2 linked regions of the Danio rerio genome follow. Each later gene encodes a partner of the first gene's protein in a complex. Links are inferred from orthologs where the notes say so. Each region holds a gene or a part of one and is shown in the gene's direction. Other genes may lie near its edges. The genes, in order: musk and dok7b.

Evidence for each region.
Region 2: the proteins of musk (region 1) and dok7b are in contact, whole or in part, in a crystal structure (PDB 3ML4), measured with the Mus musculus proteins. The link is inferred for Danio rerio from reciprocal best matches to the Homo sapiens genes MUSK and DOK7. Residues at the interface, in NP_035074.2 of Mus musculus: Leu547, His548, Pro549, Asn550, Pro551, Met552, Tyr553, Gln554, Arg555; in NP_001335203.1 of Mus musculus: Leu154, Ser155, Asp156, Leu157, Arg158, Arg159, Tyr160, Gly161, Gly172, Thr173, Arg174, Ser193, Asp197, Val200, Arg201.

The regions. Positions count from the first base shown.
Region 1 is NC_133185.1:15,375,249-15,379,856, reverse strand, and holds the start of musk (muscle, skeletal receptor tyrosine-protein kinase isoform 1 precursor), read left to right. Parts: upstream 1-1,544; 5' UTR 1,545-1,677; coding exon 1,678-1,750; intron 1,751-4,580; exon of another isoform or gene 4,581-4,608.
Region 2 is NC_133176.1:44,247,522-44,251,351, reverse strand, and holds part of dok7b (protein Dok-7), read left to right. Parts: intron 1-2,678; coding exon 2,679-2,786; intron 2,787-3,830. UniProt on the Homo sapiens protein: Probable muscle-intrinsic activator of MUSK that plays an essential role in neuromuscular synaptogenesis. Acts in aneural activation of MUSK and subsequent acetylcholine receptor (AchR) clustering in myotubes. Induces autophosphorylation of MUSK.

The DNA.
Region 1 (4,608 bases):
GGCATGAACAAAATCTTGCTGAATGAAACTGAAGTTGCTGAAAAAATAAAAATGAAATACTACAAAAATTACAGGGGAGTAGCAACTACAGGGGAGAAGCCAGTCTGTAGAGTTTCTAGCTAAACATTTTGCAGTGTTTGCATGTCCAACAGTACAGAATTCATTAAAACAGAAATAAAATACCAACCATCACAATTTCATAAAAAATAAAAAAAAAAACACCTAAATTGTTTTGCATTTCATGATTTTTTTCAGTTGAATAAAAATCTATTTTCCATTCATATATTAGCAAATATTTTCCTAATATTTTAAATTATAAATAAAATGTCTATTTTCCATTCACATAGGCTCTTAGCAAAATATTTTGCAGTGTTTGTATGTCCTTTACTGCACAGAATCCATTAACATATAAGTTAAATAACAATAATTACAAGTTTAATTAAAAAAAATTAAATAGTTAAATAGTTTTGCAATTTGTAATTGTTGTTGTTGTTGTTGTTGTTGAATAAAAGACTGCTTTCCATTCATATATTTTTATCATTGAAGATGTGTTATAAAAATAGTTTGTAAAAATCTTGTCTCGTTCTAGTGAACCCAATCTCATGTCAAGTCTTGTCTCATGGATTAAGCGCCTCGTCACACCCCTATTAGAAAGTATATAAATTTGAAAATTGAATTGGGCACAACAAACAAGTTGCAGTTCTGAGACAAAACTCAGACAGCTGAAATGTACTTTAGGATTTCTGGCTTAGACTGTGACTTAAATTATAAACATCAATAGTTTATCATTCATAAACTAAAACTGAAGCTTTTTATGTTTTTTTCCCCCTTTTGCTATACTGAACATACAGTAATATTGTGAGTTTGAAACCAAGTTACGTACCAAACTGTTACACTTCTGATAGATTCAGACTCAAGAAGAACATTTAAGTATATTAACCGCACTTATCATATTTTATCCACACGTTTCTAAGAACTATGATATCAACATGATAATTTCTTTGTTTAAAACCCTGTTGTAAATGACTTGATATACAACAGGTAAAGCAGATAACAGGTAAAAAGAAAGAGAAAAAAATGTCTTAAATATTCTCTGTTGTCAAAATGTTAAGAGCAAAATATTTTTTGTAATTCAAATTAACTTTGTTGTGAGCAAAAACTTAAACAAATGCCTGATTTATCAAATCTTACAAAAATATGAAGAAAAATGTATATGGCTTTTATTTATTTATTTATTTTTTAACTAAAGGGTGAAATAAACATCTCAATTCCAGAAAATTCTAATTTTCAGCCTTACAGGGTTAACACAGACTGTGGTTTTATTTCTATGTTTTTTCAAGCCAAATCATAAGCTCTGAATTCAGCAGCTGCACATAAAATCTACAAACTTCAAAAGTACAACATGTTCCCTTGTATAAAAAATGGTATTATTGGTATTTTCAAGGCACTTTCTGTATCTCATCCCCCTCATATTCCTGTAAGTGTATCCAGCAGCTGGTCCTGTCTATCTCAGCTGACCGCACGAACACTGCGAAGGCCTTTCTACACATGCACACACACATCCACACACACAGACATACACACTGTACCATCTGCTGGACTTCATTTCAGAGTTCTGATACGAGGCTGACCAATGGATTTTAAAGCTGATTTGAAGCAGAAGGCTTTAAGGTGAACATGAAGGTCCCGAAAAACACTCCTCTGGTAGTTTTTCTGGCATTTTTCAGCCTGACTGAAGGGCTCCAGAGAGGTGAGTCACAGCTTTTGAAACATGAACAGCTAACTTGTGTTGTGCAAGCAATAACCACATGGTGAACTCGGGCTGCTTGTTTATTGTTTAGAAATTATGACTTAGGATTTGCTGATTTGCACATTTCATAGTGTGGACGCATTGAATATGTGGGTTCATTATTTTTACTACTACAAGTACTATTATTACTATTATTATTATTATTATTACTATTTGTTTATTATTGCATTTTTATTGTGATTTATTTTATGAAAAAAATTGTTTTATGATTTAAAAATATAATGTAATAGTTTATTTCATTATTTTAATAAATTTATTGAATTTAATAAAAAAAATTCAAATGATTTGTAAAATTCTCAGCAATTTGTATTTGTTTTAATCAAATGAAAGCAAATTGGAAATATATATATATATATATATATATATATATATATATATATATATATATATATATATATATATATATATATTCAACTTTTTTTACATATGGTCAAAAACTTTTGCGTTGTTAAATTATTATCTAAAACAGTAGTTTGTATTTTGTTTTGTTTATGCATATTCATATATAATATAAGACATGAATATTAAATAAAATATTAACATAAAATATTTACATCATACACATATTCTTTCCAAGTTTACTTTAGCTGGCTGCCATAAAATTGTGTCTTAATGTGATTTAGTTTGTCTGGAATTTAAATAATATTGCTAATAAACTAAATACAAATTATATAAATAAAATTGTATGTGAGGAGTTCAGATGTAAAAACGTTGGAAATGTTTACCTTAAATGAGCATTTTTTTATCAGCCTCCTATGTTTATGTTCAGTTATTTCACTTGAAAGGCAATGAAAAGAACTTATTCATCACTATAAAAGTAAAATTACTGAGCCTACACACAAGAGTCAGAGCAAAATGCTAATTATAGAAATAATATCAAATGGCTTTTAGAAGTTTTTGCATCTAAACTCTTCATGTGTTTAACAACACACAATGACTAAACTGAAAAGCAAACTAAATATTTCAAGAAAATAAAAACACAACAAAAACGTATAAAAACAACATAGACTCATTCTGAAAATGAAGCCCAATACATTTCTGGAGATTGCGAATTAGTTTAATTTAGTCTTTAAAACGGATGCGCTGTTTCTTTCCGCGCTTAACCAGCTGACTGCTTACCTTTGTGTGAACAACTTTTCTGCTGTTACCAGTTTGTACAGTGGCTCACTGCATACGTTGGCAGAATTGTGACGCAGAGTTGACTGTGACAACGAAGTTTGACTCTGGTTTAGAATGGTTCCAGAAAGCAGGTAAGACAAAACCAAAAGCCAAAAAAAACAAGATAATTAAGATAATAAGGTTTAAATCTTGGCTGTGGTAAAAATCAGGCTGCCGCAAGGGCTTCTTTTTCTGGATTGCTTTTGAAAACACTATCGGTTGGGTTTAGGGAAGTTTGTGGGCGGGTCAGTCGGTGCTTTTAAAAACACTATTGGTTAGGTTTAGGGAAGGAGGGTAAGTCCATCTGTCAGTCAGCCAGTTGACAGTGGCCTCTGTTGGATTTACAAAAGAAAAGCAGGCACAAATGACACTCGTGAGAAAAATTTGAGATTTCAAAAAAAGTGCACACAGCAGCCTCTGGTGGATTCGCGAAAACTAACATATGAAAATAACATATCTCCTAGGACGTATTTGGTGCTCTCCAGAAATGTATATAAGGGTATGAACCTGGATGAACCTTGGTTGTGTAAAACAAAAGTTATAGTGAAAATAAACAAATAAATAACTCAGCAAAACCTATTTCGATAAAAATATTTTGATGTCTGTTGTCTAACTAACGTATAAATTAAAAAAAAAAAAATAAAGTAAGAGTAAAGACATTTAAATTTCAAAACAATCAATGCCAATAAAGAAAACATGATTTCCATGTTGGATTCTAAGTGGACTGCAAAAAAATGCCAAAATACAGGAATTGCAGATATGGAAAATGAAAAATTATAATAATAAACTATAGAATACAAACTGTTGCATTCATTGTAAAGTTTTATTGCTGTGAGTTGAGAACATTAATTATAGAGTCATTTTGCTTAATCCTCCTTTACATTCATCCAGTTGCTAAGACTAGGAGTATCCCGCAAGTGCACAGAGACTCCCAAATGCCTATAAATTAATGATAATTTCTTGCAAACCGGTCGTTAAATACATTGCACACCCCTCTTGCCCCTACTCAGATATGTCGCTCACTCCATCCCTGACACCCCTCAACGGGCCTGACACAGACACACACACAGACAGACACACACAACGCGCTGCAGACGTTTTGGCCCCAACGGCCTTCCATACTGGAGCGACTCCCCTCAGATTCAACACGCATGATCACGTTCATCAAATTTGCTAAGCGTCCTAAACTAAGCGTCCTAAAGTATTACTGTATTTCACAAGGATTCTGCCACAACAACGCGAAGCATACGCTTTCGTTGCGTTTAATGAGGAAACATGCTAAACTTGTGGGGCTCGTGCTGAAAGGCAGAGAAATGCCCTGTCTTTGACAGCTCGCGACTTCACCAGACGTTCTGAGTACATTTACATAAGACACCAATACTCCGATTTTAATATGATTAAGATAATACTCTTATTAAAATTCTACCATGTAGCCTTAAAAGGAACCTTACCTTAAAGGAACACCGAGTCACGAAATGCGGAGTATTTTCTTTCTGTTCGCCATGCGGTATCAACTTACAACAGATGTCGAAAGTTAAAAATGAAACACCCGAAATTGCATGAAACTCTGGATAACTTGTGATGCAACTAATTGTTTTATACTGGAACTTGCCTTCAAAAAGTGCTTCCTTGGTCTTATC
Region 2 (3,830 bases), on another chromosome or scaffold:
ATAATATAAAGATGTTTAGGAAAATTTTACATTTAATTTAATTACTTTTTGCAGATTCAAAAAAATTTAATCCAATTAATTAACCACTTTTATTGACAGTAACACAATATAACATATACAGTGTTATTAAATGTAATAGAATAAATGTATCATTATCATTCATCAAAGTCATCAGTATGCTCTATAAACCATAGAATAGAGCTATCAGATTTATTCGAGACCATTTACTGTACATTAAGCTAAACCTTTTTCACAGTCAAAATTTTTGTGCACCCTTAATTGTTAGACAATGTCAGAACTGCATAAAATAAAGCCAGAATTGTGGAACTGCTAAAACACAATTGCAAGAAATAAAGTCATAAATCTGAGACCATATAATGTAAATACAGAATTTCAGATAAAAAATATATAAACTCAAAACTGCAACATTTAAAGTTTGTTATTGTAACAGAAATTCTCAGACAAGGAAAAGAGTCCGAGGGAGAATCATGTTTCTGTGCCTTAAAAGATATTTTAATAAAGATATTTTTCTGTGGACCAACAACGAACATAATCATTTTGAGCATTTTTGATAATGGAAATTGCTTGCAATCATGGCGAAAAATGTTTTCCAGTAATGCTTGGCCCTCAAATTCCACCATTGTCAGTGATTGCCTTCTGCAAGTCTAAATGCATAAATCAAAATCAGTTTACTTTAGTATTTATGACAACACAGTCACTGAATTCTCTGATTCATGCGATGTTACGTTACATTAAGTTCTCGTCTGTCTTACTTCATGCTAAGCTGTCAGGACAGTTGTTTTAGCTGTCATTAAATGTCATTAATTACATGCACTTGATGTATTTTAACCTTTGACATTCAATAAAGGTTGAGCATGAGTTCATAATGCCAGTGATAAATAAGATGTGCAGGGCACTGATTGCAAAATCAGCTTCTGTCAATCAGTCAATTTGTTTTTATATAGTCTGCAGAATAAAAAAAAGCAGAAAAAAGTAGGAGAATGAAATCCTTTAAATAATGTGATTAATATTTGTATACAGCACTGTTTTTTATCTGTGCAAGCAAAAAAAAAAAAGTACATTCACTGGCCACTTTATTAGGTACACCTGTCCAACTGCTCGTTAACGCAAATTTCTAATCAGCCAATCACATGGCAGCAATTCAATGCATTTAGGCATGGAGACATGGTCATGGACACAGTCTGCTGCAGTTCAAACCGAGCATCAGAATGGGGAGGAAAGGGGATTGATGTGGCTTTGAACATGGCATGGTTGTTTTTTTTCACGCACAACAATTTCTAGAGTTTACAGAGAATGGTCTGAAAAAGAGAAAATATCTAGTGAGCGGCAGCTCTGTGGGCGCAATTGCCTTGTTGATGTCAGATGAGAATGGCCAGACTGGTTCCAGCTGAAAGAAAGGCAACAGTAACTCAAGTAACCACTCGTTACCACTGAGCTACGTAGAAGAGCATCTCTGCACACACAACACATCCAACCTTGAGGTGGATGGGCTACAGTAGCAGAAGACCACACCTGGTGCCACTCCTGTCAGCTAAAAACAAGAAGCTAGGCTACAATTCGCACAGGCTCACCAAAATTGGACAATAGAAGATTGGAAAAACTGGTCTGATGAGACTCGATTTCTGCTGAGACATTCGGATGGTAGGGTCAGAATTTAGCATCAACAACATGAAATCATGGATCCATTCTGTCTTGTATCAACGGTTCAGGCTGGTGGTGGGGGTGTGATGATGTGGGGGATATTTTTTGGCACACTTTGGGCCCATTAGTACCAACTGAGCATCGTGTAATCTTTCCAGTATCTTGTTGAATCTATGCCATGAAGGATTAAGGGCAGTTCTGAAGGCAAAAATGGTTCAACCCGGTACCAGTAAGGTGTACCTAATAAAGTGGCTGGTGAGTGTATGTTACTGAACATTTAATGATTTACACATACATATAATATGAAGTATTTTAACACAAAAGCTACACACTTTATTTATTTAAAGGGTTGCAGCACAAAAACAACATGCAGTTTGTTTTTGCTTGTGTGGTATTGATTTTTCAGTCTATTTGTTGCCACTGGCATTGCTTGAAAGCTTTTTGCGCTACTTTAGACCAGCTTGAAATTGACTTTCCATGCTAATTAGATGCCAAAAATATCTACAGTACAGCTAAACCGTGCAAAGTAGGAATGCCTCCATAACAACTTTTCTATCATACATTCTGTTCCAGTTTTCCAGAGGCTTTTATTTACTTGTTCTCCCCTGACTGACTTATTGTTTAATTTGAGCGTTTTGTGTTTGGTGTCCTGATTTATTCTATTGTGTGAGAGAATGATTACCAAACCTACTGGCAAATTCAAAAGGAGGTCTCAAAGCGTCTAGTGTGTGAGTCTGGATCCACATTATGCGAGAGATTATTGCTGTGAGGCTGTGTCTGTGATGTTCCAGTGGAAATTGATAAATGTGCCTAGTGGCTCCGGTAATTCTACCAGCAGAGACAGTGATACAGCAGTGATGGATCGTACATGACTTAATGCTCAGAGACAAATCAGTGCTGTCTGGTGCTTTCTGTGTGACCGTAAGGATTTATGTTGGCACACGTGTGTACAGTATGAATGATGAACACTCACTGTATTGGTTTAATTCAAATGTAATGAAATTCTGTTTCCATAGACCCCAATGCTAACCCGTCGTCTATAGAAGACCGGATTAGCCAGGAGGCTAGTGAGCTGGAGAAAAGACTCAGCATGCTGTCCATTTGTAGTCACCACAGCAGTGCAGGTAATTCAAAAATCATTAACTAAATATACACCTAAAGCAATGTACTCATTTCAAACAGTGAAAATGCAGTTGTAAATGCAAATTCTGTTATAATTTTCTCTTCTTAATGTCATTTCTTTCATCCAAATGTTTTGAATAATCATTACGTTGTTCATTTGCATTTAAAAACTGTTCTTAGTCTTTGTCAAGATCCCAAAGGACTATACAAAGCACAATAAAAGGATTATAAAAGCCATCATATAAAGTCATTCAATCCTAGATGGAAATTGATGTCATTTTTTGTTATCCGCTTGTTAAGTGTGACGTCACGCAGAGCGGCTTCCGGGTTCAAACGCTCTATTCAACTTTATGGGGAGATTTATGAAATGGTAATAATAAACGTTTACAAAGCGATTTAATACTTTCTAAAGTCACGATCGCAAAATATATGTCCATGCCTAATATCCGATGGCCAGAAAGTAATTCATTGTTTTATAAATTGTTAAAAATTTGGTATTTGTCATGCAGCAAGCCCAGAGAGTGTTGTGTACACTATGACTTTATATAAAATTAACTTTAATGTGCAATATGAATAAAAAAGTGATTTCTCCACTCAAGTGAATGGCGGCTTGGACCCGGAAACAGTATTACATGTGTCAAAAACACGTCACCACTTAACAAGCGGATTGAAATTTAATGTTATTTATGTCAGTTTAAGGGATAATAATTTACAGTCAAATCCCAGAAATTTATTCCGAAGGAATTGATTTTTTTTTGTCAGCAGTAATAAATAAAACTGAATTTATATTGGGGATATGTACAAGCAAGTTAAAAATCGACAGAAAGAGAGCACAGTAAAAAGAAAAGCATGAAAGCCTGGACACAATCATCAGACTTTCAAAAGTTTTTGTTCATAGGGCAGTAAAATACTCTGCAAAGACAATGCGCCCTATCATCATAGACCGGACGCAATAAGATGCAACACGTGTTTGACGCGATTTGTTGCCAAGCGCAACCCTAATTTTCACGTTGTGAAATAGCCACGTTGTTTAAATAGCAAAACCA